7 linked regions of the Rattus norvegicus genome follow. The protein of the gene in region 5 interacts with the protein of the main gene of each other region in a pairwise test. Links are inferred from orthologs where the notes say so. Each region holds a gene or a part of one and is shown on either strand. Other genes may lie near its edges. The genes, in order: Il36rn, Acot8, Cdkn2c, Magohb, Rel, Hdac7 and Exosc1.

Region 1 (4,109 bases), on a different chromosome or scaffold from region 5:
TACCAAGCTATTAAGAACAAGGACATCCTGGATTTTGCAGGCAAGTGGATGGAACTAGAAAATATCATCCTGGGTGAGATAACTCAGACCCAAAAGGACATGCACAGTATGTTCTCACTAATAAGTGGATATTAGCCAAACAAAAAAAAAAAAAACAAAAAAAGTACAGACTACCTAAGATACAGTCCACAGAACTCAACAAGGTCAACAAGCTAAAGGGTCTAGGTGAGGATGCCTCAGTTCCACTTGGGAGGCAAAGGGGATGGGGGTGGGAGGGAAAGGGGAACATGATCTGGTATTGAGTGAGGGAAAAGGACTGAAGCCCTGAGGGCCAGCAGAAAGAATAGAAACAGGTGACCTCGGGAAGAAGGAGGTTGGGAGGAATGTACCAGAGACCTGGGAAGTGAGGGACTCTCAGGACCCTAGATGAAATGCCCTACTATGGGGAAAGGGAGCTTATTGAACCCACCTTTAGCAGAAAAACAGGACATCAAGTGAGGGATGGGGTTGCTATCCTACAGTCTGGCTTTTTTTAATGAAACAATATTGACTTCTCTGACAGATAGGAACAATCTTGCTTAAACTTTATTTTGCCTATAGGCTGCTTCTTCCTAAAACTGTTTTGTTTTTGCAAATATTATAGTGTTGTTTCTACTTAGTCAAATAGTAGTCCATCTAACAATTTTATGTAAGGCAGCTTCTACATTCAATTTACTTTCCTGAAAGACATTTGCCACAGTAACAACCAATAGTTTGCAGGAAGAATCAAAACTTGAACATTTTTGTTATGCACTGATGCTTACCTTTAATTCTGTTAGTTTATAGAGGTATTAAAAACATATCAGTTATTTTATATAATTACATATTGTTTTACTAACCAAGTATTTAAGACAGGCAAAGTATATAATTGTGGCAGTTTGTCACACATAGTATTCTATAGCAAAAGCAAACAAGCAAACAAGCCCAGCTTCAGGAAGGATCAATAAGATAAGTGGATGAGTAGAAGACTAGAGCTATGTACACTTACATGTTATTATCATGTTTGGTATAGGAAGATATTCTGCTAAAGATGTGGGTTAAAAAAGTATACTTTCTGTAGTGTTGCTGAATGGAAAGTTGCCTGTGGTTAAATGTGTTCAAAGGAAAAGGTATTGGCACTTTCTGTAATGCATCCAAAGGCAAGTCAGCATGCATATTTTTCTTTATTGCTTGTCTGGATTTTCTGGTTTTTCTACAACTGTTGCCTAAACATTCCTAAGCAGATCTCCGCCTCCAACAGCTCCATAGGTCTGGCAAAGGCAGGAAGAAGGGACTGAAGGAAGGGAAAGAGAAAGAGAGAGAAGAAAGAAGGTTGCTCTGACTTTCTGGATCTACTTTCTGAAGTAGCTGAGTGTACCTGGAGAATTGGAAAGGCCAGAGAAAGTCCTTCTGAATCTTTGGAAGAAGGCTGACTGTTGAAGCTTCCTTCATTGAGAGATAGGTGAGAACGACAGCAGGTGCTTTTGGAAGTTTGGGATGGTGTGAAACCATTCTGGGAAAACCTGCTCCTCCCTAGTGAGTTTCAGGCTCCTCCCTGGATCATTAGTGTATTTCATGTACTTAAAGGACCACGGCATCTTGGAGAAGCAAGCAGTCATCCACAGGCTCCTATCTGGAGAAAGGGGAGATCTGATGGATGCTTTGTGGGGTCTTTCCTAACTTCCAGATCCAGAATCTCCTCCTTCACACAGGCTGTTCACAAACTGACAGACTCTGGAGCATGCTTTCTACTCAAGCCTCCCTCAGATTTTCCAGATTTGCCTTTGCCTAAAATTTCCTGCTGTTTGTTTCAAAATAGGGTCTACATATCGTGGAGCTCATGATGGTTCTGAGTGGGGCACTATGCTTCCGGTGAGTATTTGGTCATCTGATTTGGTGGTGTCCTCAGAAAAGTGACTTTCAAGTAGACAAGAAGGACTGTTCTCTCATCTGGGCTATCACAGGTAGCTAGGAAGATAGGATATTTTTTGGAATTCTTTTGACCTTCTTCAGACTGGGAAAAACTAAGCAGGATCCTCACAGGTTCCTGATTCTAAGAGTGTGGAATGGGGGATGGGACAAGTAACTGGTTTAGCGCTGCAGCCTGTCATCTTTGGTGAGCAGAGTCAGTGTCCCTTAGAGAGCTCCACTATTGCCTCCATGATGATGAATTAGCATCAGTCCAGACACTGTACTAATTTCTCCATGATCCTTGCTGGAGATGGGAGTAACAGTCCCTCCGTGGGATGCACTGAGCTCAGCATCTTACTACAGATTTTATAGCAGCAGATGACAATGCTCCTTACTCTCACTGGACTCAGTTTATAACTTGTCAGCCCTCTGTATCTGTGGTTTCTACAATCACAGATTCAGCAAACTGATTGAAAATATTAGGAAAAATTGCATCTGTGGTGCGCATATACAGACCTCCCAGTTACTCTTCCCATAAATAATACATTACAGTTATATAGAAATGGTTAGTGTATTCAGGAGGATAGATATCAGTTAGAGGCAAATACTACAGCCATTTGATCTAATGGCCTTAGCACCTGTGGGTTTTAGTTTCTGCAGGGGTCCTAGAACCAATTCTTATGCTAACAAAGTGTTGGAGAATCTCCTGAAGTGTGTGCTCTGAGGCTCAGCCCCATGAAATGGTTTGTGTAAAAGTGCTCTAAGAATGAGGGTGTGGAATGAAACCTCCTCATCATGTTTGGCTGGGAAGATGGCTCCACAGAAGCAGAAAGACATTCATGTTGGGAAAATGTGACTTCCAGAATGTATATCTTCAGAATCCACATAAAAGTCTAGTGTGTGTCTGAGGCCAACCTCTAATCTTAGCACCTGAATGGAGAGACAGGACATCCCTGGGGCAAGCTGACTAGACTAGTCTAATTGGAAAGATCCAGGTTCAACAAGAGTCCCTGCCTTAGCAAATAAAGTGGTGCAGGGTTAGGAAAGACACCCAACGTGGGGTTGCAGCCTCCATGTACATACTCAAACTTGTGGGCATGCATACACATACACCAACACATATGTGAACATGAAGACACATATGCACACCGTACACATACAGATGCAAAAAATGTTCGGCTAGACATCAAGACAATTTTACACTGCAGAGGTCTATTGTAGAATAAAATTTTCATCTTACAGAATCTCAGAAAATCAGCTGAGAAGTAACTTTGAAAAATAAAACTTAAAAGAAAGTCCCCAGGATAAAATATATGGCCATATGGACTCAAACATGCTGTGAAATGTTCAGTCGGATTAGAAATGAGAGGTAGAGTCAGCAGAACTATGAGTATGAGGCCAACCTGGTCTATAGAAGGAGTTTCAGGCCAGTCAGGACTACACAATGAGATCCTGTCTCAAAAACAAAACAAAAAGGTGAGCATCAGATTTTAATCAGGAAGAGGCCTGGTTGTTATTTAACCCTCTGCTATGGTTTAGCAATGAAGAGAGTCACACTCAGAGCAAAAAGGAATTTTGTTTGTTCCAACTCATATCCAAACCTTCCCAGTAAGAGTTAGCGCAGGTAAGACCCTCTTCTGCTCATAGAGATTCCCGCAGGGGTTAAACATGTCCAAACAACTTTCAGGTCGTAAGACAGGTTTAGGATAAGAAGCCTGTGAATCAGGGGAATCAATGAAGATAGAGAAGTGGTCCTGGCTTTGAAGAGTCTAAGGCTCCAACCCACAGGGGCCCAACAGAGCATATGTAAAAGATTTAATGTGGGGAAGTAACAGACTTCAGGTACAGATGAGAAGAAGGGAGAGAGAGTCAGTCATCTTGCAGAGCTAGGCCTGAAAGTTGCATGACTATGTAACTGTGGAAATAGAGCGAGACAAAGTGCCTGAATTTGGGGGATCCTTCTGGAGCCAAGGCAAGGTAAGACATCCATCTCTATCCTTTATGGAGGCTTGTTTCTTCCTGGTGTTTCAGAATGAAGGATTCAGCCTTGAAGGTACTGTATCTGCACAATAACCAGCTGCTGGCTGGAGGATTGCATGCGGGGAAGGTAATTAAAGGTTGGTATCTATGAGTCCTAGGTCTCTGTACTCTCTTGGGGTATGTGTTTAGAAGCCCTTAAA
Region 2 (3,500 bases), on a different chromosome or scaffold from region 5:
AGCGTGACTGGCCCGAAACTCACCATTCAGACCAGGGCGGCCTGGAACTCACAGAGCTCTGCCTGCCTCTGGCTCCCGAGTGTTTCGGACTAAGGGCCTGCGACGCCACACCTGGCTCTCTTCTTTATTCTCTTCTAGTGTCAGCACTGCTAAGTCCTCATAGGGCTGTAAACTGCTATGGAGACAGAAGGTAAGCGGTTTGGAAGTTGAGCGTCAGCTTTGTAGTCATGGCCGCGGTGATCTTGAATGAGGTTACTTTCTTTTGCTACGATGGAACTCATCTGTGAAACAGAGGCGAGGCGGGACCAGCGATGTGTCAGTAGGATCTCTTAGACTCTTAAAGCTCTGGGCTCAGAGACAGGGGAGTTCTCATTGCAAACTCTTGGTCTGGACTGGGGACGTAGCTCAGGAGTTATCTGCTGCTAGCAGGGTGGTAGCCTCTTGTGTCCCTGGCTGACCTCAGACTTGCTGTGTAGCCATGGATGTCCCTGACTAACAATCTTCTCGCCTGCGGCTCCTTGGTACGGGGATTGCAGATGCCGCCAAACCTTTGTGCTGTGTAGAACCCAGGGTTCTCTACACATTAGGCAAGTCCTATCCCAAGAGGACCTCGTCCCAGCTTAACCCTGGCCTTCTTATCCTGTGGTTCTTTCAGCTGAGGAGATGCCCCACTGGGTTTTGTTTGATTTTTTTAAGCTAAATTAGCAACTCTGACTTGGAATTCTAATCCTCCTGCCTCAACCCCCTGCATATTGGTATTACAGACTGGTGCCTAAATATATTGATTGGTTTTAGTTTTGATTCTGAAACCAGGGACCACTTCGTTTCAAAAGTAGAATGAGTTGCCAGGCGCACACCTTTAATCCAGCGCCTGGGAGGCAGAGGCAGGCAGATCTCTGTGAGTTCAAGGCCAGCCTAGTTTATAGAGTAAGTTTCAGGAAAGTCAGGGCTATGCAGAGAAACAGCTTTGAAAAACAAAAGAAAACAAACAAACAAAAGAGTAAGTGTGGATCAGCATGGTGGCTCATGCCTTTAATCTTAGCACTGGGGAGGCAGAGGCAGGCAGATCTCTGGGAGTTGGATGCTGTCCTCTACAAAGTTCCAGGGCTACAGTGAGATCCTGACTCAAATAAATTAATTCATTATTTAATCAAAAAGAAGAAAAGAAAAAGAAGAAGAATCGTGTTTCAGTCAGGCAGAAGAGACTGGTATTTATACACAGAGAAAGGCTAAAAACAGGAAGCGAGTTGGCCGTCTCACTCTTGTGGGGCTGGAGGTGCATTTCAGTGGCAGGGCACTGGTCTTAGCGTGCATGAAGGTGACCCTTTTCAGCCCCAGACAGCCAGGACTTGGTGAATAACTGACAGACTAACCAACAGCTCCCCTAACTTCACCAGTTTCTGACTTTGTACCAAGTGGAGAAAGCCAAATGTGTGTCCCTAACCAATTCCATAAGTGTCCCCTTCTCTGTGGTTCACCTGCTCCCCAGGCCCACAGTCTCCAGTCTGGGCACACCCAGCACGTCCTCTGATCTCTGCTGTAGACATGGCCCACCATCATGCCTGTGTGGGTCTCTGGCAACAGCACGTGACAGCAACACATTGAGAAGTCTGTCTTTGAGAAGAAAAGAAGATGGACATGATAGCTCACACCTGTAATTCTAGCATTTGAGAGGCAGAGGCCAGAGGATTGCCCCGAGTCCCAGGTCAGCCTTGGGCTATAGAGTGAAACCCTGTCTCAAAACAACAAAAACCCCAACCAGCCAACCAAGAAATTAGGATGAGAGGAACAGAGGTGGTGTTTTACTAACTGTAACGAGGACGACCCATGGATTTACTTAGGGTCATTGTATCCCTTATGCCTACTGCAGGGGACCCAAAGGTGCCAGTGCTGTACCATGTGGAGAGGACACGAACAGGAGCAAGCTTCTCAGTGCGTGCAGTGAAGGCTGTGCAGCATGGCAAGGCCATCTTCATCTGCCAGGCCTCCTTCCAGCAGATGCAGCCCAGCCCCCTGCAGCACCAGTTCTCCATGCCCACTGTGCCCCCCCCAGAGGAGCTGCTGGACCATGAGGCCCTCATTGACCAGTACTTAAGGTGAGGCCAGAGGACTCCAGAGAGCTGGTTGTTGTTGTTTACTTTTTAAGTTTCTTTTATTCTTTAGTTTTTATGGTTCTGTGGATCACACCTAGGAGCCTAGTGTGTGGTAGGTATGTTCTGCCACCCAGCTACACCCCAGACCTTAAAAACATTTACTACCTTGACCTATAGTAGAAACTACATTTAGGCCCCAGGCATAATCTGCATGCCTTTAGAGACAGGCAAGTCTGGGAGAATTCAAAGGTAGCCTGGTCTACATGAGGAGGCCCAGCCAGCCAGACCTATAGAGAGAGATCGTGCCTTTAAATAAAACAGTACTCAGATGACTAGATTTAGATGCATTCTGATATTTCTATACTACTCTCCATTTCATTTTAAAAAATCAGTATTGTGTGTGTGTGTGTGTGTGTGGCGTGTTTGTGTATGTGCATGTGCAGGCCACAGCATACGTAAGATATGTTTGTTGTGTTTGCACGTGCACACCACAGCATATGGAGGACAGAGGATGACTTTGTGGAACCCTCTCTCTTCTGCCCTTACCTGGGCTTGGAGGGTGGAACTCAGGTCCACAGGCCTGTAGGCCATCTCACCTGCCCATCGATTTAAATTTATGTATTTACATGTGGGAGTGCTCTGCCTGCATGTACACCTACACGCCAGAAGAGGGCATCAGATCCCTTCGTAGATGGTTGTGAGCCACCATGTAGTTCCTGGGAATTGAACTCTTGACGTCTAGAAGAACAGCCAGAATTCTTAACTGCTGAGCCATCTCTCCAGCCCACTCCTTTATTTTTAATTAGTGTATATTGTATGAAGTCATGGATTTCATTTTGACAGCTTTATGCATGTGTATAATGTATTTTTATTATATGGCCCCGCATTAGCTTTCTCGTCCCTTTCTTATACAGTCCCAGGGCAGTGTTTTCAAGCTCTGGCTCCTACTCATTAGTGGGCCAGAGAGCCTCTAAGTGGGTCTTGACTATGGACTAAAAGTATAAACTGGGGGGGGGGGGGGCTTGGGGATTTAGCTCAGTGGTAGAGCGCTTGCCTAGGAAGCGCAAGGCCCTGGGTTCGGTCCCCAGCTCCGAAAAAAAGAACCAAAAAAAAAAAAAAAAAAAAAAGTATAAACTGGGTCCCAGCACTTGGGAGGCAGAGGCAGGTGGGTCTCTGTGATTCCCAGTTTAGCTGGGGCTACATGAGACCCTATCTCAGAAACATGGGGGATGGCTGAAGAAGGCTCAGCCATTAGGAGCACTTGCTACTCTTGCAAAGTGTGGGTTCCAGCACCCACATGGTGGTCCATAACCACCTCTAGTTCTTCTTCCAATGGCTTTGACACCTTTTTCTGGCCTCCACAGCCAGTAAACACAAATGTGCACATGCATGCATGTAGGTAAACAC
Region 3 (4,152 bases), on a different chromosome or scaffold from region 5:
ACTAACTGTAAGCCTTGTCTAAAGTTAATTGTATTTCTCACTTTCCCTCAAGAATAGAAGTTAACATTTTCTAGACCCTGGAACTTTAAGGCTTTGAAGTTGGTCAGGATTTCTTGCAATGCGCTTTCAGTTCTCATAAAACTCAAGTCTACAAGACTTCTCTGCCGTGTAGTTCTGTCAGTCGGGTCCCCTCTGCAGCCCTGGCAGCGACCTGACAGGTGGCAAGGCCTGTGGCAGAGCAAAGGAGTCCAGCCAGAGCGCGCTCGGGGAGGAGGACAGCAGCCCCGGGCCAGGCCACTCGAACTCGGCGAGCCTGGTCGGGGAGCTCCGAGGAAGGTGGAACCGCCCCGCTCCAGCTGAGGAGACAGCCGGAGCGCCCGCGCTCTCCTCACCAGCCAGCAACAGGGCCGCCGAGCCTCTAAGGGCCTCAGCTTGAGCCCCCAGCCTCAGTTACCACCACCCGGGTCTCTCGCGGTAGAGGCTCGGCTTCGCCGACTCCAGCCAGCTCCAGAACAGCAGTCCGGGCCGGGCCGAACCCACCCAGCTTCAGCAGCGGCGACCAGCGCAGCGGGAGGGCGGGCAGGAGCTCCCGCGAACCCAGGCCCAAGGCGGGCAGAGAAGGGCGCGGGGCCGCGAGGGCGGAGCGAGCGCGCCGCGGGCCAATGCGCCGCCAGGGCGGAGGGCGGGGCGTGGGCGGTGCCCGGCCTTCCCGCTCCCGCGGCGCCCTAACTCCGCCGAGCCTCCTTAAAACTCTGCCGTTAAAATGGGGGCGGGTTTTTCAACTCAAAAAGCGCTCAATTTTTTTCTTTTCAAAAAAAGCTGATGAGGTCGGAAAAAAGGGATAAGAAACCGGCACCGTCCCTTCAGAGGCAACCGTAGCAGCAGTTGCTTCAGCGGAAAAAGAAGCAAAGGAGAGAGGAGAGGGAAAAATCCTAAAGGAAAGACGCGCAAGTGCCTGTAGCGGGGAACAGAGCAGCGATCAGAGATTTGGGGGAATCGGACTACAAAAGAAACTGTCAGGCGCGGCTCCCGACCGGCCGGTGCAGTCTGAGTCAGCTCCGGGACTGAGCTGGCTGGCAGTCGCTGTCCTGTCCGCGGCACACATAGGGGCACAGGCCGGAGGACCGCCAAGAACTAACTAACCAAGTGGCACCGGGCACCGAGCTGCTGGGCGGCCGCCAAGAAGTCGGCGGGACAGACTGCGCCCGGGATCTGCGGCGACCGCTCCTACTTCCAAAGACCCTTCCCATCATCGGAGGCGCCGGGAAAATCTGAAAGGGAGGGAAAGACCGCGACAGAGGCGACGGCCGCCGCTCAGCCAGCGCTTGCAGTGGAGAGCTTGAGCTAGCTCGGTCGTAGGCGGGAAGTTACTGGTGAGCTGGCCGGGTGCAGGCGCGATGCTACCGCGAGCTGCCCCAGCGGCTGGAGCCCCATAGACGCTTCCCTCTTCGCCCTACACGGTCCCCAGGCTGCCGGGAGTCCCGGGACCCGGCGGGGCCGGCATGACGGGCTTGGCGGGGGTCTGCCGCACACCCACCAGCCTCCGGAGACCCGCGCCCTGCCGGGCTCCCACGGCCTCTGAGGCTCGGCGGGGCTGCGGCAGCCCGGCCGGCGGGCTCCGGAGGCTCTTCTGAAGACGCCGAGCCCGCTTGGGAGTCGTTGAGACCTGAGAGTTGAGGGCTTCAGAACTGCTGCTCTGGTCTGCCTTCGGCAATCATCTTTAACCCTCCCGAGCACGTCAGCATCCAGCCAGCGCGGCGCTTTGCTAGCGAGCCGCACTCTGGACTACCCCCTTCTGCGAGACGGATGGAAAGTGAGCCCTGCGGAGGACCTGACTCTGAAATTCTGCCTCAAGTCACCACTGTGAACAAGGGTGGGTTAATACCTTTTCTACTCTCCAATACTTTTTCTTTCGCGGTGTTTTCTGAGCTGACCTAGTCCCTTAAGTCTCCGCAACATCCTCCTCACAGAGCTGTGAAGCTTAGGTACGTGACAGCTCTGCCTACATCTCACGTCCATAGTAATTAATCAAGAAAAGCTTCTGTGTATGTATCTCTGTCGAATCGCCAGAGTCCTTCTTAGGGGTTAAGCTAAAAAGCTAGGGAAGGAGCCCCTCTCCAATGGGCTCAGTTTTGCTGAATAATCACGTGTGAATCGAGGGGCGGGCTTTTGGCAGGCCGACCTTACTAGTATTTACTACCAAGCTCTACTCCAGATTAACCATCCCAGTCCTTCTGTCAGCCTCCGATGCCATCATGCAGCCTGATTAGGAGCAAAGAAAAGGGGAAAAAGAGAAGCAACTAATCGTCTTTTCCCGATCGTCAGGACCCTAAAGAATGGCCGAGCCTTGGGGGAACGAGTTGGCGTCCGCAGCTGCCAGGGGGGACCTAGAGCAACTTACTAGTTTGTTGCAAAATAATGTAAACGTCAACGCTCAAAATGGATTTGGGAGAACTGCGCTGCAGGTTGGTATCCAGAGAGGTGGGAAAAACAAGTTAATAAGGTTGCCTGGGCTTCTAAAATGACAGCTTTTAAGTTTGGAGGGGTACAGATCTTCACTGTTTTAAAACCTACATGGTTGCCATATTTTATATCTTTAAGTGGATCCAACTCCCCAAAATGACGTACTTTGGAGAAACTGGTCAAATCCAATAACATCCTCGATATCAAGAGAATCCTAGGTTTGGTCATAATTTTTGGAATGCTTTTGTGACAATGGAGGTTTTAAAGTAGTCTTATCGTCGAAATCTGTTTGTTTTGTGCAGTGTTGTTTTAGATAGCTCTTTAAGCACATTATTGTGATTATTATTTGAAGTAAATACACAGCTAATAGTGGTTTTTCACCTATTTTGATCCTAATCATTGACTTTAAAGTTAATTCTGTTGCCGGTTAGGCAGGGTGTTTTACCTTCAGCTGCTCCATGTCCTAACAAACGACCTTTCCTCGTTTGGTATGGGATAGCCTGGTCACCAGGACAGGGTGTACATTTTCACAGTTAATACAATACCTAATCCACCCATTCAGGAGTGAGGAGAAATTAAAAGGTTGAATTTTCTAATCAGAGCTAAGCAGTGGTGGTTTTATTATCCCTGTGGTCATGTGGTGGTATGCTCTAATTTTCAGTGATTAGATTTACAGGCAACAACTGACACATTTCCAGCTGCCAAATATGTACCTGATATTTTCCCCCTCCAAATGTTATCATGTAACTTTGCTGAAAGGTTTAGAAGCAAAACATTGGGAAAGTGATCTCCACCGGTTGCTTTTATTGGAGTTCTGATAGTACTCCTGGGAGCTTTTCCCATCCAGAAGCAGCTTTTAAAAAACCCACTGGGGTAAAGGCATTAGAGATTTTTGTTTCTGTTTTAAAAATTAGAGATTTAAGTGGCAGGAGATGCCAGAATGGAGAAAGCTCATTTGGTCTGTATAATTTAAATCAGAATACGGCTGGCCTTACAAAAACCTTCTCTGCCGAGGAAGATTATGCAGAAATACTAAAATATTTATCTTGATTTGGGAAGATTAAATAAGGAAAAGGTTTTGTTTTTGTTTTTCTGCTTAGTACTTGTGGACTGGCTTGGTGGTGATAACAATGCCATGAACTCCAGATGCTGAAAGGTTTTCTATTGAAAAGTCACAAAGTAGAAAACATTTCATCTGTGTTCAGAAAAAGACAGCACAGGGCGAGTGGGTAATTAATATAATTAAACTTTGACAAACGTTTAAAAAATAACCACCCAACTTTGCTTCTATTAAACTTAGATAATACCCACTTATTATAGCTTAATATCAAAACATATAATGAAACAGGTACACACAAATATGAGTCTTTTTTCGGTATACATAATCCTGACTCTGAAATTGTGTCATCAGGAAGAAATTTCTTCAAAATCATTTACACTCTCACTTTCTGCCAAAGGTGGCAAATTTTACTCTGTGATTATGCTTTTTACTCAGCTGCAGAAATCTTTTCTCCTTTGCTCTTGTTTTTCAATCAGAATAATCAGAGAACTTCATCATACATTTGCTTTGCGAAGGTGTTTCTTGTTTTGCTCACTTTAAGTCTTTAAATGTGACTAAGGTTTTAGGGAGAGGTGTCAAAAATTAGACTATTAATTTTTAATAACCAGAAAATATATTTCATGGAGATT
Region 4 (3,949 bases), on a different chromosome or scaffold from region 5:
ATCAACCCCCCACCAGAGAGATACATTTTACTTTGTGTCTTAGTCAAGGCTGTTAGCCACTGGATACTGTGAAGCATTATCCAAAGAGACTCTGGTAGATTGTGATCCAGTTGCCACTGAAATGTATCTTTACTCACTTCACCAGTTACAGGAAGTGGAGCCACACCCAACTTTACAATGTGCTTGGAGATCAGAGATACCCACCCTAAGTACAGCTTGTAAACCTTAGTTCAAAACTCAGAAAAATACACACCCATACCATAGGGCAACCAGAAAGTAAAAATGGTTTGCATATGTTCCTCCCAAGCCCATTTAAATAACTAGAAGCAAACAAAGAAAACCCCAAGCTATTTGTTCTTTTCTAAAATACTGTGAAATATGCAGGAAAATGGACAAATCTGTCAATTATTATAGTTAAGTGAGGTAACCGTGAAGTATTAATGCAAATCTTGTATAGGGATCTTAGCTTTTGTATGCGTGTATTTATGTGCTTGTGAGTATAGGTTATTAAACCTGAGAGGATACTGCGGGTTGGTTAAAGAAATGGAGTGGGAAGAGTAACAGGATGCATTTAACAAGAAAGTGCAGCGGGAATAACTGGGACAGAAGAATTGGAGACAGTATATGAGGGAGAGGTGTATGGAGTGAGGTTCAATCAAAACAATATACAATGCCACAATGAAATCTGCGACTTTGTACCAACCATCGCGCTCATGCAAGCAATCTTTATAAAACTCGGTGATTCTCCCCTCAACACAGACATACAGGAGATGTAAAAGCACAGGAGGGCTTATTGGTAAAAGCGGTTCTGCAGGAGAAGGGATGGTGGAAGGTAACGTGGTGGGGGCGACTAAAATTCATCATATACGTGTATAAAACCGTCAGAGTTAAAAAATAAATATCGAAGCATATAAAAAATCTTAAAAAAAAAAAAAAAGAAAACAAAGCGCTTGAGATTGTGGTGAAGCGGCTCCAGCGCAAACCTTCAGAACTGAGGGTCTCTCGCTTTGTCTTCAGTTCTCCCGGCTTTCGTTCCCTACCGGAGTAAGCGCGCCCTCGTTGACGCTCTTTGCCCGCGCCTGCGACGTCACTACTCCGCGCCGGCGGCACGTTGGACCGGCGGTATACCGGGCTTTACCGAGGGCAAAAATGGCTTTGGCTAGTGATTTCTACCTGCGGTACTACGTCGGGCACAAGGGCAAGTTTGGGCACGAGTTTCTGGAGTTCGAGTTTCGGCCGGACGGTGAGCGGCGGAGAGGCTGCGAGGGAGGGCGAGCCGCCCAGGGAATGGGTTTCTGTTTTTTTTTTTTTTTTTCCCTTTCTTATTTCAATGTACTTGTTAGTTTTGAGTCAGGGTCTTGTGTAGTGCAGGCTGACCTCGAACTCACGATTCTCTTGCTTCAGCCTTCGGGATAGTGGGATGGCAGGCATGTTACAACGCTCCAGACTCCAGAAGAACCGGTTTGGAGGGTTTCATACCAATGTTGGAAGAGTTTGCTTGTGTAGCACGCCTGCGCAGTGCTTGTAAGAGAAAAAAAAATGCTGTAAAGTAATTCAGAAAAGCGGATCTTGCCACTGTCAGAAAAATTGAACACACAGGAATCGGAAACTTAAGAGCAGAGAACCTGTGCTTCGGGAGTGTTAACAGAATTATCAAAAGACACATACTCTAGCGGATGCTTGTAATCTTTAGGTGGCCTTTTTGGCCTACTCATTCATTCACTATCTGTGTTAAGACTGCTTTGTAGGGGAGGAACCCCGTGTCTGAACACGGGAGTGTGATATGTGTCAGGTTTGAAAGACAATTCTTCACCAGTGGATGATGGACAAAGGTAAGGGAGTCAATGAATGCTCCCAGAAGCTCTTTTTGTGCTGCCTTCTAGATAGTTGGTCAGCTCTGTGTAGATGAGTCTGAATATCTCCTTCCTAGCCACCAGCTGTCAGAACACTTTCAGGTGGACAGTGAATACAAACTTTGTACTTTCTCGGAGAAGCAAATGGCCACAGAGGTAGCTACTGATGCTCTGGGTGAAGAGTGGATGGATGGGTTGTGTGGTCCCAATCACAAAAAGGACTGAGAATGACAAACGGTTTTACCATGAAGCAAGGCTTCTTGACCCAGTGCAGAGTACACCGGTTATTGTTAAAAAACAAAAATGATATTGCTGAACTGAGCCCCTGTCCCTCTGTACTTGGGTCTCAAAGAGCTAGCAGAATCCTAAAGTGTTTCAGTGTCTCTAAAGAAGATGATGTCTGCTCGTGCACCGTTGAAAAGCCCTTGAACAAAGACTGTAAGAAATCCAGGAAGAAAGCACGCAAGACCCAAACATCTAGTTACTTCATATGTCCTGGAACACCACCAACTCCAGTGTATTGTTCTGAAGAAACAATGCACTAAGAAAAATAAAGTAGCTACAGAATGAGCTAAACTTTTGACCTAGAGAATGAAGCTAGAGAAAAATACTTGGAACAGATTTCTAAGAGACGTAGGCTGTCCTCAATGGGAGCTTCTAATTTTGAGTATTAGTCCAGTAAACAATAAGTGTTTAAGAGTAAGAAATAAATGATCAGACCTTGAAAAACAAAAACAAACAAACAAACAAACAAAAAAAACCAACCAAACAACAACAACAAAAAAGGCTTTGCCTGAGTCTTTAATCCTAGCATTCTGGAGGCAGAGTCAGGCAGATGGAGTTTCAGAAAAGCCAGAGCTACACAGAGAAACCCTGTCCCCCGAACACAAAGATTCCCCCTACAAAAAAGAACCTTCCTCTAGAAGATGAGATACTTGATTGAGATAAAAACAATGAACCTTCTTGGTTTCTGGATGAGAGAAAACCCAGAAGAGAACAGAATTAGCAGGGATTTGTTGAAGCCCCTGTGTAGTGTAAGGCAATTCTTACCTGTACCAAGAATTTTTATTTGTGAATGTTCATTGTGTAGTCGGCAGTATATAAATGTCAAAGCCGAAGGTAGTTGGGAGATAAACATTTAACCTACGATAGGATAGTATGGATTTTATTTAAGTGCTTTGTGCAAGTTTTGCACAAGGTTCTTTGAAACGTAAGGAAAGGATCATGTATTCCAAAGGTTTGGAGCGTTTAGGAAGAAGTCAGCATAGCAGTCAGTGTCCTGCCGTTATTTTGAAACTTAATAACTTCAACCTTGTTTTCCAAATTTTGATGTCGTGGCCTGGTCTTTTACTCTTTTATTTTCTCTGCTTTTTTTTACTTATTCCTCTTGTAATTCAGTTCTTGTTCCTCTTGCCTGTGAACAACACCAGCTTGTCCTTATCGCCCTGAGTCACATGAATTAAGAACCCCACGGTATCAGGGGAATCTTAAGTAGAGGTCGGTCCTCATGCATCTCTGCCACCGCATTGCTCGACTCACATGCAAAATCATGAACCACAGAATCTGTCAGTTTGGCAGATGAGAAAGACATTGCAGCTGTATCAGGGCACCTGACTGACAGGGAAGCACACACCAGGGGCTTCAGAGCTTGTGAGGAATGGGTTGAATAAGTCAGCGAACAGGCTTGGCAGTTCATGTCGTTTGCATGCTTCCTAGTTAAAAAAAAATCATTATCTTATCCATATACACTAACATGAAGGGAAAGAATTGAGAGATCATTTTTGGAACTATAGAGAAAGAGTTGATCAAAAACAGACCTTTTGAGACTGTGTGACGCTGCGTAAGTTGCTTGCCTTGATTTTATCTCCTGTGAAGAGGTGAGAAAGTGAAACCCATTCTTAGAATTCCTTTAGAGACCAGGTGAAATATTGTGAGAACAGCACTAGGTACTCACATGACACTAAAGAGAATACTTAGTAGTTAGACACAGTCACTTTGTGCTCAGGGCTAGGTAAGAAAATAAACTGTTTACTGTGCACAACTTTAATCCCCAAACATAGGCAACGAGGCAGACGGATAGATCCCTGTTTGTTCAA
Region 5 (3,500 bases):
TGGCTTACATATCTGGAGTTTCATGTAAATGGGTGGTATAGTGTGTGCTTGTTTTCGATTAGCCTCTTTCACTCAACACACTCACGTTGATAGTTCTATTAATAGTGTTTTATCCTAAGTTGCATGTGTTCAGCATATGAATTACATTTGTTATGGAAAGCAAATGACTTTATTAACTCCACACTGTATGTTACATTCTGGAGGAGATTTAGATAGAACTAATTTGAAACTGTAGTTGAGCCCAAAGTCAGTGTACTGTTTTGGGATATTGCGTACAGATCCTTTGGTGTTCCAGACTTGCCCATACAAGGACATAATAAGTACATTTTAATTTTCAGGGAATGTCCTTTCACGCAGTGGTAGTGTAAAACAAAGCAGTTAGGTACATTTTACTTGGTTTTGGACTATAGTGTATCTCTGAATACTGTGTTCTTCGCCCTTCTTGGGAAATGTTGGGAGAGAAATCTTCTGATTGGCCTCAGGGGGCAGGTGACTCTAAAAGTTGTTACCTGAGAACTTCATGCACTTATTAGGTACAGACGTTAGGCAGCAGAGCACTAATCAGTTATGCGTCACTACTACGTAGAAACTCAGTCTGTACAAGAAAATGGTGTCTTCCTCATTTAACCTTTGATGATTACATTTTTTTAACCTTGTCATTTAATGTGGGGAAGGAAAAAGATCTTTCGGTGTCTGTTTTTTTTGAAAACCAAGCTGTTAAAGTCCATCGTATTACCATTCTAATCTCATCGCCCCGCTCTTTTTAATACTTTCAGGCGGATATAATCCCTACGTGGAAATCATTGAACAGCCAAGGCAGAGGGGCATGCGGTTTAGGTACAAGTGTGAAGGTCGCTCAGCCGGCAGCATCCCAGGGGAGCGCAGCACAGACAACAACCGGACTTACCCGTCTATCCAGGTAATGGGCCTTTCTTCAGGATCTCGCCTTTAGTGCTTCATTCTGTCTTATTGTCTTCTAGACAGGGTCTCTGTGTGGTCCTGGCTATCCTGGAACTCACTCCATACACCAGGCTGGCCAGAGATCTCCCTGCTTCTGCCTCCCTCCCAAGTACTGAGTTAAAGGTGTGCATTACCACCGCCTGGCTGAAGGCTCAGTCAGTCTCTTAACCGTCTTTCGCAAGCCCATGCTCTGGGCCCCCCCTTTTTTTTGTGCTTGTTCTTCATTAGCTAGATGTATAGGGATCTCTTAAAACTGTCGACTCTGTCCTGCTGTATAGTTCATGTATTAATGTAACCGCAGTGATTTGCAGGGCTTATCACACACTGACAGCTTAGGAGCCAATCCCTTCTGTTAACACAAAGCACTTGATGAGGAAAAGGCATTCTTTACGCATATTGGCGAGTGCAGTTAGTGTATATGTTAAAGGTAGATTTGGATCATCTTTTGATATTTTAATCATGCCTTTATAATGATCGCTGAAACTCTTGCGTTATTAGCATCGTCTAAAGTATCACTCTCTCTGCGTGTGTGTGAAGTGTGTGAGCGTATGCTCGTCTTGTGTGTGTGAATGTAGACACTTGGGTACCTCAGTGCCCCGTGGGAGTCAGGACAGTTGGGTGGGTTCTGTCTCATTCTTCTGTTTCCAGACAGTGCGTCTTTGCTGTTTTTCCACTTTAGACACCTGGTCCACCAGCTTCCAGGGTTCTTCTGTTTCTGATTCTCATCTCCTTAGAGGAGTGCTGCTGCTACAGGCTCGAACTGCTGGTCTCTCTCTTTCTTTGACAGACAGTGCTAGGGATTGAACCTAGAATCTTAGGAATGCCAAACAAGTGTTCTGCCGCTAAGATATATATCCCTAGCCTGCAAAAACAGTTTTTGGGTTGGAAATAAATTTAGCAAATGTACTATATTTATTAGGTATGTTTATATTTTATGTTTATACATCATATACACTTGCCTTTTCATTTTTATAATTTATTTATCCATGTTTAGTGTTTTGAAACAAAATTAGCCCCGATCTTGTAGTGACCTCGCCTCCTGCCTCTGCACCTTCATACTGGAATTGTAGACATGGGCAGTCATGCCTAGTTAGTTTTATCGTTTGAGTTCCAATTAAAAACCTGAATGATGAGTTGCAATGGTAGCACGTGACAAACATTTGGGAGGCAAAGCTAGGTAGGTATTGAGTTGAGAACTGCCTGGCTACATAAGAAACTCCAGGCCAGTCTAGACTATTCAAGCCAGACCTTATCACTGCAAACAAATGGAAACAAAGTTACTAGCACATCAGGGGCAGTGTCACCCACCAAAATCTCATCTACTTGGGAGGCCGTGGTGGGCAGATGGATAAAAGGAAGACACTGTCTCAGAATGGATTTTGAGATATGGTTCTTAATATTCCATCCATAGATCTGAAATCACTGTTTTGTGACTAGCTTATTATTTGCAGTTTAATTTTATTGAACCTAAGAAGAATTACAAAATTAAAAAATAAGTCAATTGCCAAGTTGTATATTGATTTCCAAATTTCTGTTTTTATATTTTAACTGATATATATATATATATATATATATATGCTTAAATTATATATGTTAACAGGATGCCATGTAATATATGATACACGTATGCATCATGTAATGCTTCAATCAGGTTAAACACACTTAGCTCCTCAAACGTTTATCATTCCTTGTGGAAACACTCAAACCCTCCTAGTTTTTTGAAATATACTCTGGTCCTATGGATGGTCAGTGCTCTTAGCTGCTGAGCTGTCACTCCAGACCCATAACCTCATGTTTCCAAATCACATTTTTTTGCAACAATATTGATTTGTATTATCTGAATTCTTTTTAGGTGTTCACATGAAAGATACAGTGAAAAGTTAATTTAGAGTTCTATTCTTCCAACCCTGTGAGTCATTTTTGGCTCCTCTTAAGAAATTTTCTGTTCCTAAATTAAAGCATTCCAGAGGAGAGAGTCTTTATCCTTACTCCCCTACTCCAGTGTATCCTGGTAGATCTGGACGTTAGTGCAGGCAGCGCACAGCACATCTGCTGCTGTCTGCAGCATACGACAGACACTGCAGCTCTGGAGACGGTTTTCAGACATGTTTTGAGAGGATGTTTCAGATACTTTGGGAAGGAGGTGCCTCAGAAAGGCAGGTCCAGGTCTTGCTCCGTTTGTGGTCTCACCCTCCACCAAGATCCCAGCTTTCCCCTCACCTATGGTGTGGGTATAGCCAGGGGTGAAATTCAAAACCTACTTCTGTTTTCACCTTCCTTTGCCACAGGATTTTCATGGGCAATGTGGTCTCAGAGAACGCTGGCTTTTTTTTTTTCTTTTGACACTTTTATTTCTCTCCTCCTCCTCCTTCTCCTCCTCCTCCTCTTCTTCCTCTTCCTCCTCTTCCTCCTCCTCCTCCTCTTCTTCTCCTTCTCTTCCTCCTCCTCCTCTTCTTCCTCTTCCTCCTCCTCTTCTTCTTCCTCTTCCTCCTCCTCTTCTTCTCCTTCTTCTTCTCCTTCTCCTTCTCTTCCTCCTCCTC
Region 6 (3,500 bases), on a different chromosome or scaffold from region 5:
CCTCACCCTATGGTGACTCTCCTTACCCCTCCTGTGCGGTCTTCTTCCGAGGCTGCTCCTAGCAATCTCTCAAAGCCCACGAAAACTCTTTGTCTCTTCTCCCCAGCTATTGGCTGCTGACGTCTTTATTTACCAATCAGAATTAACTGGGGGGCGGGGTCCCTCAGTGTCTTATAAGTGAGCTCTCTTTGAGGTAAGCAGGCCAACCCACTACAGAGATGTCCTGTGTTAAGTCTCTCTGGGTTTAGGGCATGAACTCTCAAAGGCATAGGAGGTGCATTGGGCCTTGTGAGGAGTAAGAGTACCCAGAAGGCAATGTGCAGCGGCCGTGCGGCAGGCACTGGCCTGGTGTGGATATCAGGTTATCAGAAGCATTTAGGCCTGTGCATAGGGAAACATAGCTCTTCACAGAAGGGTTGGAAAGGAAACGCAGACGTTCACGCGCCTGGAAAAGGCAGCAAAGGAGGTACGCATGTCTGGCTCCCCGGCTGTGGGCTGGTCTCCATCTGTAGCCACCGGGGAGGTCTCCCTGGCGTTCCAGCCCTGGCGTCTGCTTCTTGCAGGGCTGGTCTATGACTCGGTGATGCTGAAACACCAATGTTCCTGTGGAGACAACAGCAAGCATCCCGAGCACGCAGGCCGCATCCAGAGCATCTGGTCCCGGCTGCAGGAACGGGGTCTCCGCAGCCAGTGTGAGGTGAGGAGGTGGGACTATGCAAAATAGGCTGTGGGACGCCTTAGGGCCAGCAAGGGATGGGAGAGTGGGCGATCTGGTGGTGGCCTGGGCATGGGTGAGCAAGCCTTAGGAGCTCTGTGGGCCCTTTCTCAGTGTCTCCGAGGCCGAAAGGCTTCCCTAGAAGAGCTGCAGTCAGTCCACTCTGAAAGGCACGTGCTCCTCTACGGCACAAACCCACTCAGCCGCCTCAAACTGGATAACGGGAAGCTTACAGGTAGGGAAGGGAGACAGATGACATCTGACCCTGAGTCGCCCCAAACTTGCCCATCTCTCCCACTTGTGTGCTCTTGGCCCAGCTGAACCCCTTCAGCTTCCTGGATATTCCCATGCCGGTTGCCGTATCCCCTTGCCCGCAATCCCCGTACCCCCTGTCATCACCCGTCCGCGGTCCATACCTCCATAGTCCTCCCCGTCCCCGTTGCCCACCTCCACCTCCACATCTCCCCGTACTGCCTCTCCCTGCATAGCTATTTATCTTAGAGCATCCGTGTTCCTTACTCACGTGACCTGGGCTTTTCCCCACAGGACTCCTGGCCCAGCGGACGTTTGTGATGCTACCCTGTGGCGGGGTTGGGGTAAGTATGCCTAGAGATCTCGAGTGGGCATTGCCAAGGCCTTTCAGCCTTCGTTCGGTTCTCTCGGCCCATTGCCACCCCTCTGCCACCTGAAACTTGTGGTTCTGCCAGAGTCGGGAAGGCAGGGCCTTTCCCTTTCTGGTCTTCTATCTGGAAGCACCTTGTGATAGGTGTGTCCCAGTACCATAAGTGTCCCATGAGTGTGGAGCCCAGGGCCTCTCAGTTAGAAAGTATTTGGTAGGTGTTGAGTGAGGCTCGAGGTAGGGTCATACTGAGGCTAGACACTGCCCCTTTGATAGACCCCAGGGGTCAAGCATTGGCCATTCCACACTGGCTCTCAGAGTTGGCAGCTCTGCCTGCCCAGGAGTGGGCCTCTCTCAGAGACTCGAGGTGTGCCTTACTCGACCTCCAGACCTCGTGTGGAGCTGTGGGGTACCTCCCATGTACTTAGAGGTGTAGGACCTCCCGATCCAGGACACGGATTTCCAACCCTCTAGCTTTGCTTGCCTCCGCATCGCCTGCTGGGGGGTCTTTCTGCTGCCTCTGACATGGCTCTCCCGTCGTTGTGGTGCCAGGCTAGGTGTGTGGCAGTGAGGTGGAAGCCGAGCCCAGGAGAGCAAGCGGGAGCTGTTAAGGGGACTGTTGGGGAGCCAGCCAGTGCCCTGTTCACAACTCCCCATTTCTTGCCACTTTCTGGTTTTTCCAACTGTTGTTGCTTCTGTTTTCTCCTCCCTCCTCTCCCTTTCTGTCCTTTCTCTCTCTCTCTCTCCAGCCTCTTGCGACTCTTTCTGCCTTCCTCGCCTCTCTCCGTCCGCCTCGCCCTTCCCATCTCCCCATCATGCCCCCCGGCCCCTCCCTAGCCTTGAGGCCCAGGGACTGGGTTTGGGGGGCCTCCCAGCCTGGGCTAGGGGCCCCGTGTGGAAGACAGTGGTGCAGACGGCCCCTCCAGCTCCGACCGTCCCGCAGGGTCAGCAGAGTCAGCTGGGGCTTAAAACCCCTCCCGGCCCAAACCCCAATCCCGCCCAGGTAACGCCATGCCCCCTCCCCTGACTGGGGAGGCAGAGTGCTGGCCACACACGAGCTGGTGCTGGGACTTACACTGGGAAGAAGTTCTCCCGGGACTGGGGGACACAGGAGGCCTTGCCTTTGGGCGGTGGGGCACTGGGGAGGCAGCTTTGTCTGCCCAGCTCCCTGCCCCTGGGGTCCTGGCCATGGGGTGGGTACTGCCTCACTGGACCCCGGCACCTACGGAAAGCACAGGATGATGCAGTCCTGACCCTGGCCCCCACAGGTAGATACTGACACCATCTGGAATGAGCTGCATTCCTCCAATGCAGCCCGCTGGGCTGCAGGCAGCGTCACCGACCTTGCCTTCAAAGTCGCTTCCCGAGAGCTAAAGGTAAGAACTTTAGATGAAAGGCCGGTAAGCTAAATCGTTGGTGCCGGGGTGATGGAAGTGAGTCCACACTCCAAGCGTTCGACTTCCCATTGCTTGTGGGTGTTGCCTCTGGGTTTTGAAAGGGAAATCGGGGCTGGAAGCAAGGTAAGGCAGTTGGTCATCCTGATTTGAAAATCCCAGCCCTACCGCGTACAGCCACAGAACTTGGGTTGTTTAATTCACTAAGCTTTGCTTTCTTGTCTGTCAACTGGGGAGGGTGATGATGTCTTGTGCTCTAGGGATGCCGCGAGGAGCAAATGGAGTATCAGTGATGTACTGGGCACAGGACCAGGCACGTGGTTTTCTCTAGTAGTTAATAGGTGTCACTGTGATGACAGCCAGGAGCTACCAGGGAGGGGTGCTGTGCTCAAGTGCAGCCCATAAGTGATGACAGCAGTGTGGAGGAGAGGTCTGGACGTCTCAATGGTGCACGCTGCTGCCCCACCCCTGCCTTTTAATCCTTAGAGAAGGCCGCTGGGATGGAAAGCAGGCTCTCGGGCAGATGAGGACTGAGAGACGGCTACTGAACTGATAAATGCTTCTCCTCCCCTTTCAGAATGGCTTTGCTGTGGTGCGGCCTCCAGGACACCATGCAGATCATTCTACAGCCATGTAAGCCATTAGCGGGGTGGACCTATGTGGCGTGAGGTGGAGGCAGCCCTCCGAAGCCCTCCTGGAGGCGGAGTAGCAGGAGGATGGGCTGGCAGGACCCTCTCTCCTTCCTCCAGGGGCTTTTGCTTCTTCAACTCTG
Region 7 (4,112 bases), on a different chromosome or scaffold from region 5:
CCCCCCCCCCAGCCTAGTGGGATATGAGGAGAAGGAGGAGACTAGAAAAAGATGTAATAAATGGACCACAAGTGAAAAGGTTTTACCTTGGGAAACAGAGAAAAAAAACAAAGTCTTTAAATCTAAATGTGGTGAGAAGTCATGGATGACCTGAATGAACAGAGGAGGGATAAGCCAGCATAGTTCCTCCAAACCCCAAGTCCTGCCACCTCTCAGTAGAATCCACAGAGTACAGTGGCCATCTGCCACCAGAGTAGAGATTAGCAGGCAACAGCACTCCCCTAAATCACCATCTGTATCTCAAAGAAGCCTGACTGACAGGGAGGGAAGGGGAGATAGGAATAAATTCCAGAGCCAAGAGATGAAACTGAGATCAAGTCACGGCAAATTTCATCTGGACACAGCTGCTGCTCCCGTGACCTTTGCCATATCAAGCTGATGTCAAGAAAGCATAATATTCTATTAATGAAGTTGTCTTTCCCGGCTAACATGCTAAAATGGAAGAATGCAAAAGGAATGGTATGTTAACGTCAAGCTGCCCATTCATAGTTAAGGAGCTCACGCTCTAGAGTATCTGCCTGCAAGAGAAGAAACTGTCGTTTTACAAAGCTTAAAAAAAAAAAAAAAAAAAAAAAAAAAAAAAAAGGTTGTGTCTCCAGGTGCAGCAGGGTCCAATTATGATAGGCTCAGGTCAAAAAAAAAAAAAGAAAAAGAAAAAAGGCTTAAGCTTAGTCTGTCTCGAACTATCTACGACACTTTGTACAAACCAAACCTTGTCTCTGGATCTGAGTCTCCAAACTCGTGAAATGGGCGAGTTGGGACTGAGGATGAGTTGGGACAGCCACGCAGGGCAGGGCGCAGAGAGTCCAGGAACTTGAACTTAAGGGCCTGGACACCCGAGACTCGGATGGGGACAAGAACCGCGCCTTCACTCTTACCTGCCTCCTGCCAGCTTCTCAATCAGCTAGATTAGGCCAAGTCTCCCTGTCAGCCACTCACTGCCTCCCCTTCCAGCTCGGGACCCAGGCCGGGCCGAGCTAAGGCTAACCCACCATGGCCCTGAGCCCGCAGCGCCAGCCAGCGGACCGAGACCCGCGGACAGCCCATCACCACCCAGCTGCGCAGGCGCGAGTCTCAGAGCCCGCAAAGTCACGCCCAGAACTCTGTCCCGGGGCAGCCTGGGAAATGGAGTCAGGCTTCGCTCTTACGCCTTGCGCGGTCGAAAGCGCCAATTGGTGCACGCGTAACTGCGAGGCCGCTCCTCTAGTTGACCAATAAGAAGTCGTCTTGGTTCTCATCCGGGTTGTGGACGGTGGCAAGCATGGCACCACCTGTGAGGTACTGCATCCCGGGTAAGTGAGCGGTCTCCGCAGGCAGACCCTGGCTGCGGGCAGCCAGTTTCTGGGAGCTCGTAGCTGAGGCACATGTCTTCTGCAGGCGAACGTCTGTGTAACTTGGAGGAAGGCAGCCCGGGCAGCGGCACCTACACCCGGCACGGCTACATCTTTTCGTCGCTGGCTGGCTGCCTGACGAAGACCAGCGAGAATGGCGCGGTAAAGAAAGCGGCTAGCCAACGAGCGTCACCTCTCAGGCTGCCATCGAGTTCTGGTCCTTGGGCACAGGCACTACCGGGAGGACCTGTCTTTGGTGTCTCAGAGCTTTGGTCTCCCAGCTTCTCCCAGCTCTGATCCCAGCGCTGTGCTAAAACACACCTGCTGCACACCATTTAGGTTGGGCTGGCTTAGTTGTGTAGAGACACTCACAGAAGGAGGTGGAGGGGAAAAGCACGCAAATTTGAGAATAGCCCGGCCAGCCGAGAGCTTCTTCCCGTCATGCATCTCGACTACCTCCGCTTTCTTGTGGCTCTTGTGTCCCACTTCACTGACATCAATGTAGTAATGCTGGAGATTTTCAGTGTCTTAGTGAACTAAACTCTGTTTCGAAGCCTATGCAATGCATGTACTTGTCTGTCTGGAACACACTTCTGCTCAATCCCTTTTGTTTTTTGTTTGTATGTATGGCTTTCCCAGAGAAGCCCTTCTGGACCTGCTGACTGAGAAAATGGGGGTTTTAGTGGCAGTAGGATTGTTGTGCCCAAGAACCTTCCCTGGAGCACTTATTTAAATATGTTACTCATGATAACTAGATTCTTGCCCAAGTAGAAGTTTAAGTGTAGCCATGCATGGTGATACACGAGTGTATTCCCAGCTTCTAACTGACTCAGATAAAGCAGTGGTTGACATTTGTAAGACTATAAAAACTAAGAATTAAACCTCCTCAGGCTGGGCTTGTGGCTCATCAGCACAGCGTTTGCCTAGCTTGGGACCTGGGGAAAAACACACCCTCTTTAGAGACTGGCAAAACCCAAACTTCCCACTTTGTGTTGTACTTATTTGTAAAAAAAATGGGCTCCAGTCTATTGGTTTTGGAGATAAAACTCAGCCTGTCAGTCTACTCACTACATAGATGTCCTGCCCAGTGGTGCCCTTAGTTGCTACTGGGGATAGAGTCCTGAGCCCAATACACTTAGCTTTTGTTACCAGGGAGACAGACACAAACCATGAGCAAATGCACAAACATATCTTCAAAAGAAGTGTGCGGAACAGTGAGAACATGTAACGGGCTGCATGAATTCTAGATAGTGACAATAATATTTCGGCACCTGAAGATAAGGAGAGGTGGAGGAGTGTGGAAAGAATGGATTAGACAGACAACGTGAAATGGGAGGGACTTAGTAAGGTAAGGAAACAGCACAGAGCAAGAGAGGTAAGATAATACACCAGTTGCCATTGGAGTAAAACAAGAGTTGCCATTCTATAGCATTTAATTGCAAATCCTGAAGTAAAAAAAAAAAAAGTTATAGCTTGAAGAAAGAGTCAGGATATTCATAATTATAAGCAATAGGATTTGTACCAGGAAATCCCAAGAGAGTCTTCAGTCATTTACAACTAATCAGAATGATCACATTAAACCTGGCAGCCTAGTTCTAATGGCCTCTGATCCTCTTTATTTCCTAAAATGACTAATGTCCTCTGCTATGGGCTATAAATGAATCTACAGGCTGCCTGCCCTTGTGACCTCGGCTGTTGTAAGATACCCCTGTATTATCCTCAGCCTTCAGTTCTCTTTACCCAGGGCTTACTTAGCCAGTACACTAACCTTCGTATTCTCTCCACAGCTTCCCGTGGTATCAGTAATGAGAGAGACAGAGTCCCAGTTACTTCCAGATGTGGGAGCTGTCGTCACCTGTAAGGTAAGCCGGTCCTAGTCATGATTAGGCCGAGATCCTACAACTGCCGTGGTCCGCTGCTTAATACAGTAGTCCCTAGCTAGAGAAGGGTGTTTTAAGTTTATTACTGCTAGAAGGTCAATCTCAGGGATGGATGTGTTGACTCAGCCTTTAATCCCAGTACTCAGGAGGCATAGGCAGGTGAATACTTGAGGACAGCCTGGTCTATGCAGAGAGTTCCAGGACACCCAGGGCTTCATAGAGAAACCCTGTCTCAAAAAGAAAGAAAAGAATGAAAAATTTATTTTTAGCCAGGCTAAAATATAAAATATCTGTGGTCTCGGTATTTGGATGCTGTTTAGAATTATTGAACAGTAGTCCAAGACCAGAATAGGCTACAGAGTGAGATCCTGCACCCCACAATCCCAACACTATTCACATTTTAAGTACTCGGTAGCAAATTGTGGTTAGTGGCTGCCATACTGGTTGACATATGACTTTAGTTTGGGGGGTGTGGGAAAGTGATGGACTCCCCAGAAGTACGTCTTCAGTTCTAGGAAATGATTGGTTTTGTTTTACCTCATGTGAATAGTTATCTTGTCTGTATCATATGCGTGCCTGCTACCACAAAGCCTAGAAAGGTGTGTCGCACCCCCTGGGACTAGAGGCACAGATAATTATAGGCCACCATATGGGTGCTAGGAATGGAATCCAGGTCCTCTAGAAGAGCAGCCGGTGCGCTTAGCTGCTGAGCCATCTGTCCAGCCCCAGGAAATCACATTTCTGTCATCACAGAAATTTTTGCTGGCAGGGCATAGGTGCACGCTCCTCCAATGGTGCTTGGGAGGCGGGGAATCTCAAAGGGGAGCTAGGCTGCAAGGTA

The links.
Region 1: the proteins of Rel (region 5) and Il36rn interact in binary tests that used the Homo sapiens proteins (3 or more experiments, as listed by UniProt). The two-hybrid records come from large-scale screens. The link is inferred for Rattus norvegicus from reciprocal best matches to the Homo sapiens genes REL and IL36RN.
Region 2: the proteins of Rel (region 5) and Acot8 interact in binary tests that used the Homo sapiens proteins (3 or more experiments, as listed by UniProt). The two-hybrid records come from large-scale screens. The link is inferred for Rattus norvegicus from reciprocal best matches to the Homo sapiens genes REL and ACOT8.
Region 3: the proteins of Rel (region 5) and Cdkn2c interact in binary tests that used the Homo sapiens proteins (3 or more experiments, as listed by UniProt). The two-hybrid records come from large-scale screens. The link is inferred for Rattus norvegicus from reciprocal best matches to the Homo sapiens genes REL and CDKN2C.
Region 4: the proteins of Rel (region 5) and Magohb interact in binary tests that used the Homo sapiens proteins (3 or more experiments, as listed by UniProt). The two-hybrid records come from large-scale screens. The link is inferred for Rattus norvegicus from reciprocal best matches to the Homo sapiens genes REL and MAGOHB.
Region 6: the proteins of Rel (region 5) and Hdac7 interact in binary tests that used the Homo sapiens proteins (3 or more experiments, as listed by UniProt). The two-hybrid records come from large-scale screens. The link is inferred for Rattus norvegicus from reciprocal best matches to the Homo sapiens genes REL and HDAC7.
Region 7: the proteins of Rel (region 5) and Exosc1 interact in binary tests that used the Homo sapiens proteins (3 or more experiments, as listed by UniProt). The two-hybrid records come from large-scale screens. The link is inferred for Rattus norvegicus from reciprocal best matches to the Homo sapiens genes REL and EXOSC1.

What each region holds. Positions count from the first base shown.
Region 1 is NC_086021.1:27,441,400-27,445,508, forward strand, and holds the start of Il36rn (interleukin-36 receptor antagonist protein), read left to right. Parts: upstream 1-1,309; 5' UTR 1,310-1,480; intron 1,481-1,580; exon of another isoform or gene 1,581-1,605; 5' UTR 1,606-1,733; exon of another isoform or gene 1,734-1,837; 5' UTR 1,838-1,858; coding exon 1,859-1,890; intron 1,891-3,960; coding exon 3,961-4,046; intron 4,047-4,109. UniProt on the Homo sapiens protein: Inhibits the activity of interleukin-36 (IL36A,IL36B and IL36G) by binding to receptor IL1RL2 and preventing its association with the coreceptor IL1RAP for signaling.
Region 2 is NC_086021.1:173,955,689-173,959,188, reverse strand, and holds part of Acot8 (acyl-coenzyme A thioesterase 8), read left to right. Parts: exon of another isoform or gene 1-177; coding exon of another isoform or gene 178-190; intron 191-1,870; coding exon 1,871-2,096; intron 2,097-3,500. UniProt on the Homo sapiens protein: Catalyzes the hydrolysis of acyl-CoAs into free fatty acids and coenzyme A (CoASH), regulating their respective intracellular levels. Displays no strong substrate specificity with respect to the carboxylic acid moiety of Acyl-CoAs.
Region 3 is NC_086023.1:129,642,092-129,646,243, reverse strand, and holds the start of Cdkn2c (cyclin-dependent kinase 4 inhibitor C), read left to right. Parts: upstream 1-1,352; 5' UTR 1,353-1,873; intron 1,874-2,241; exon of another isoform or gene 2,242-2,325; 5' UTR 2,326-2,336; coding exon 2,337-2,465; intron 2,466-4,152. UniProt on the Homo sapiens protein: Interacts strongly with CDK6, weakly with CDK4. Inhibits cell growth and proliferation with a correlated dependence on endogenous retinoblastoma protein RB.
Region 4 is NC_086022.1:166,770,541-166,774,489, reverse strand, and holds the start of Magohb (protein mago nashi homolog 2), read left to right. Parts: upstream 1-1,149; coding exon 1,150-1,243; intron 1,244-3,913; exon of another isoform or gene 3,914-3,949. UniProt on the Homo sapiens protein: Required for pre-mRNA splicing as component of the spliceosome. Plays a redundant role with MAGOH in the exon junction complex and in the nonsense-mediated decay (NMD) pathway.
Region 5 is NC_086032.1:101,911,939-101,915,438, reverse strand, and holds part of Rel (proto-oncogene c-Rel), read left to right. Parts: intron 1-776; coding exon 777-919; intron 920-3,500. UniProt on the Homo sapiens protein: Proto-oncogene that may play a role in differentiation and lymphopoiesis.
Region 6 is NC_086025.1:130,810,018-130,813,517, reverse strand, and holds part of Hdac7 (histone deacetylase 7), read left to right. Parts: intron 1-563; coding exon 564-697; intron 698-829; coding exon 830-950; intron 951-1,261; coding exon 1,262-1,311; intron 1,312-2,083; coding exon of another isoform or gene 2,084-2,337; intron 2,338-2,602; coding exon 2,603-2,710; intron 2,711-3,305; coding exon 3,306-3,361; intron 3,362-3,477; coding exon 3,478-3,500. UniProt on the Homo sapiens protein: Responsible for the deacetylation of lysine residues on the N-terminal part of the core histones (H2A, H2B, H3 and H4).
Region 7 is NC_086019.1:250,691,949-250,696,060, reverse strand, and holds the start of Exosc1 (exosome complex component CSL4), read left to right. Parts: upstream 1-1,312; 5' UTR 1,313-1,321; coding exon 1,322-1,352; intron 1,353-1,437; coding exon 1,438-1,553; intron 1,554-1,575; exon of another isoform or gene 1,576-1,730; intron 1,731-1,773; exon of another isoform or gene 1,774-2,739; intron 2,740-3,178; coding exon 3,179-3,253; intron 3,254-4,112. UniProt on the Homo sapiens protein: Non-catalytic component of the RNA exosome complex which has 3'->5' exoribonuclease activity and participates in a multitude of cellular RNA processing and degradation events.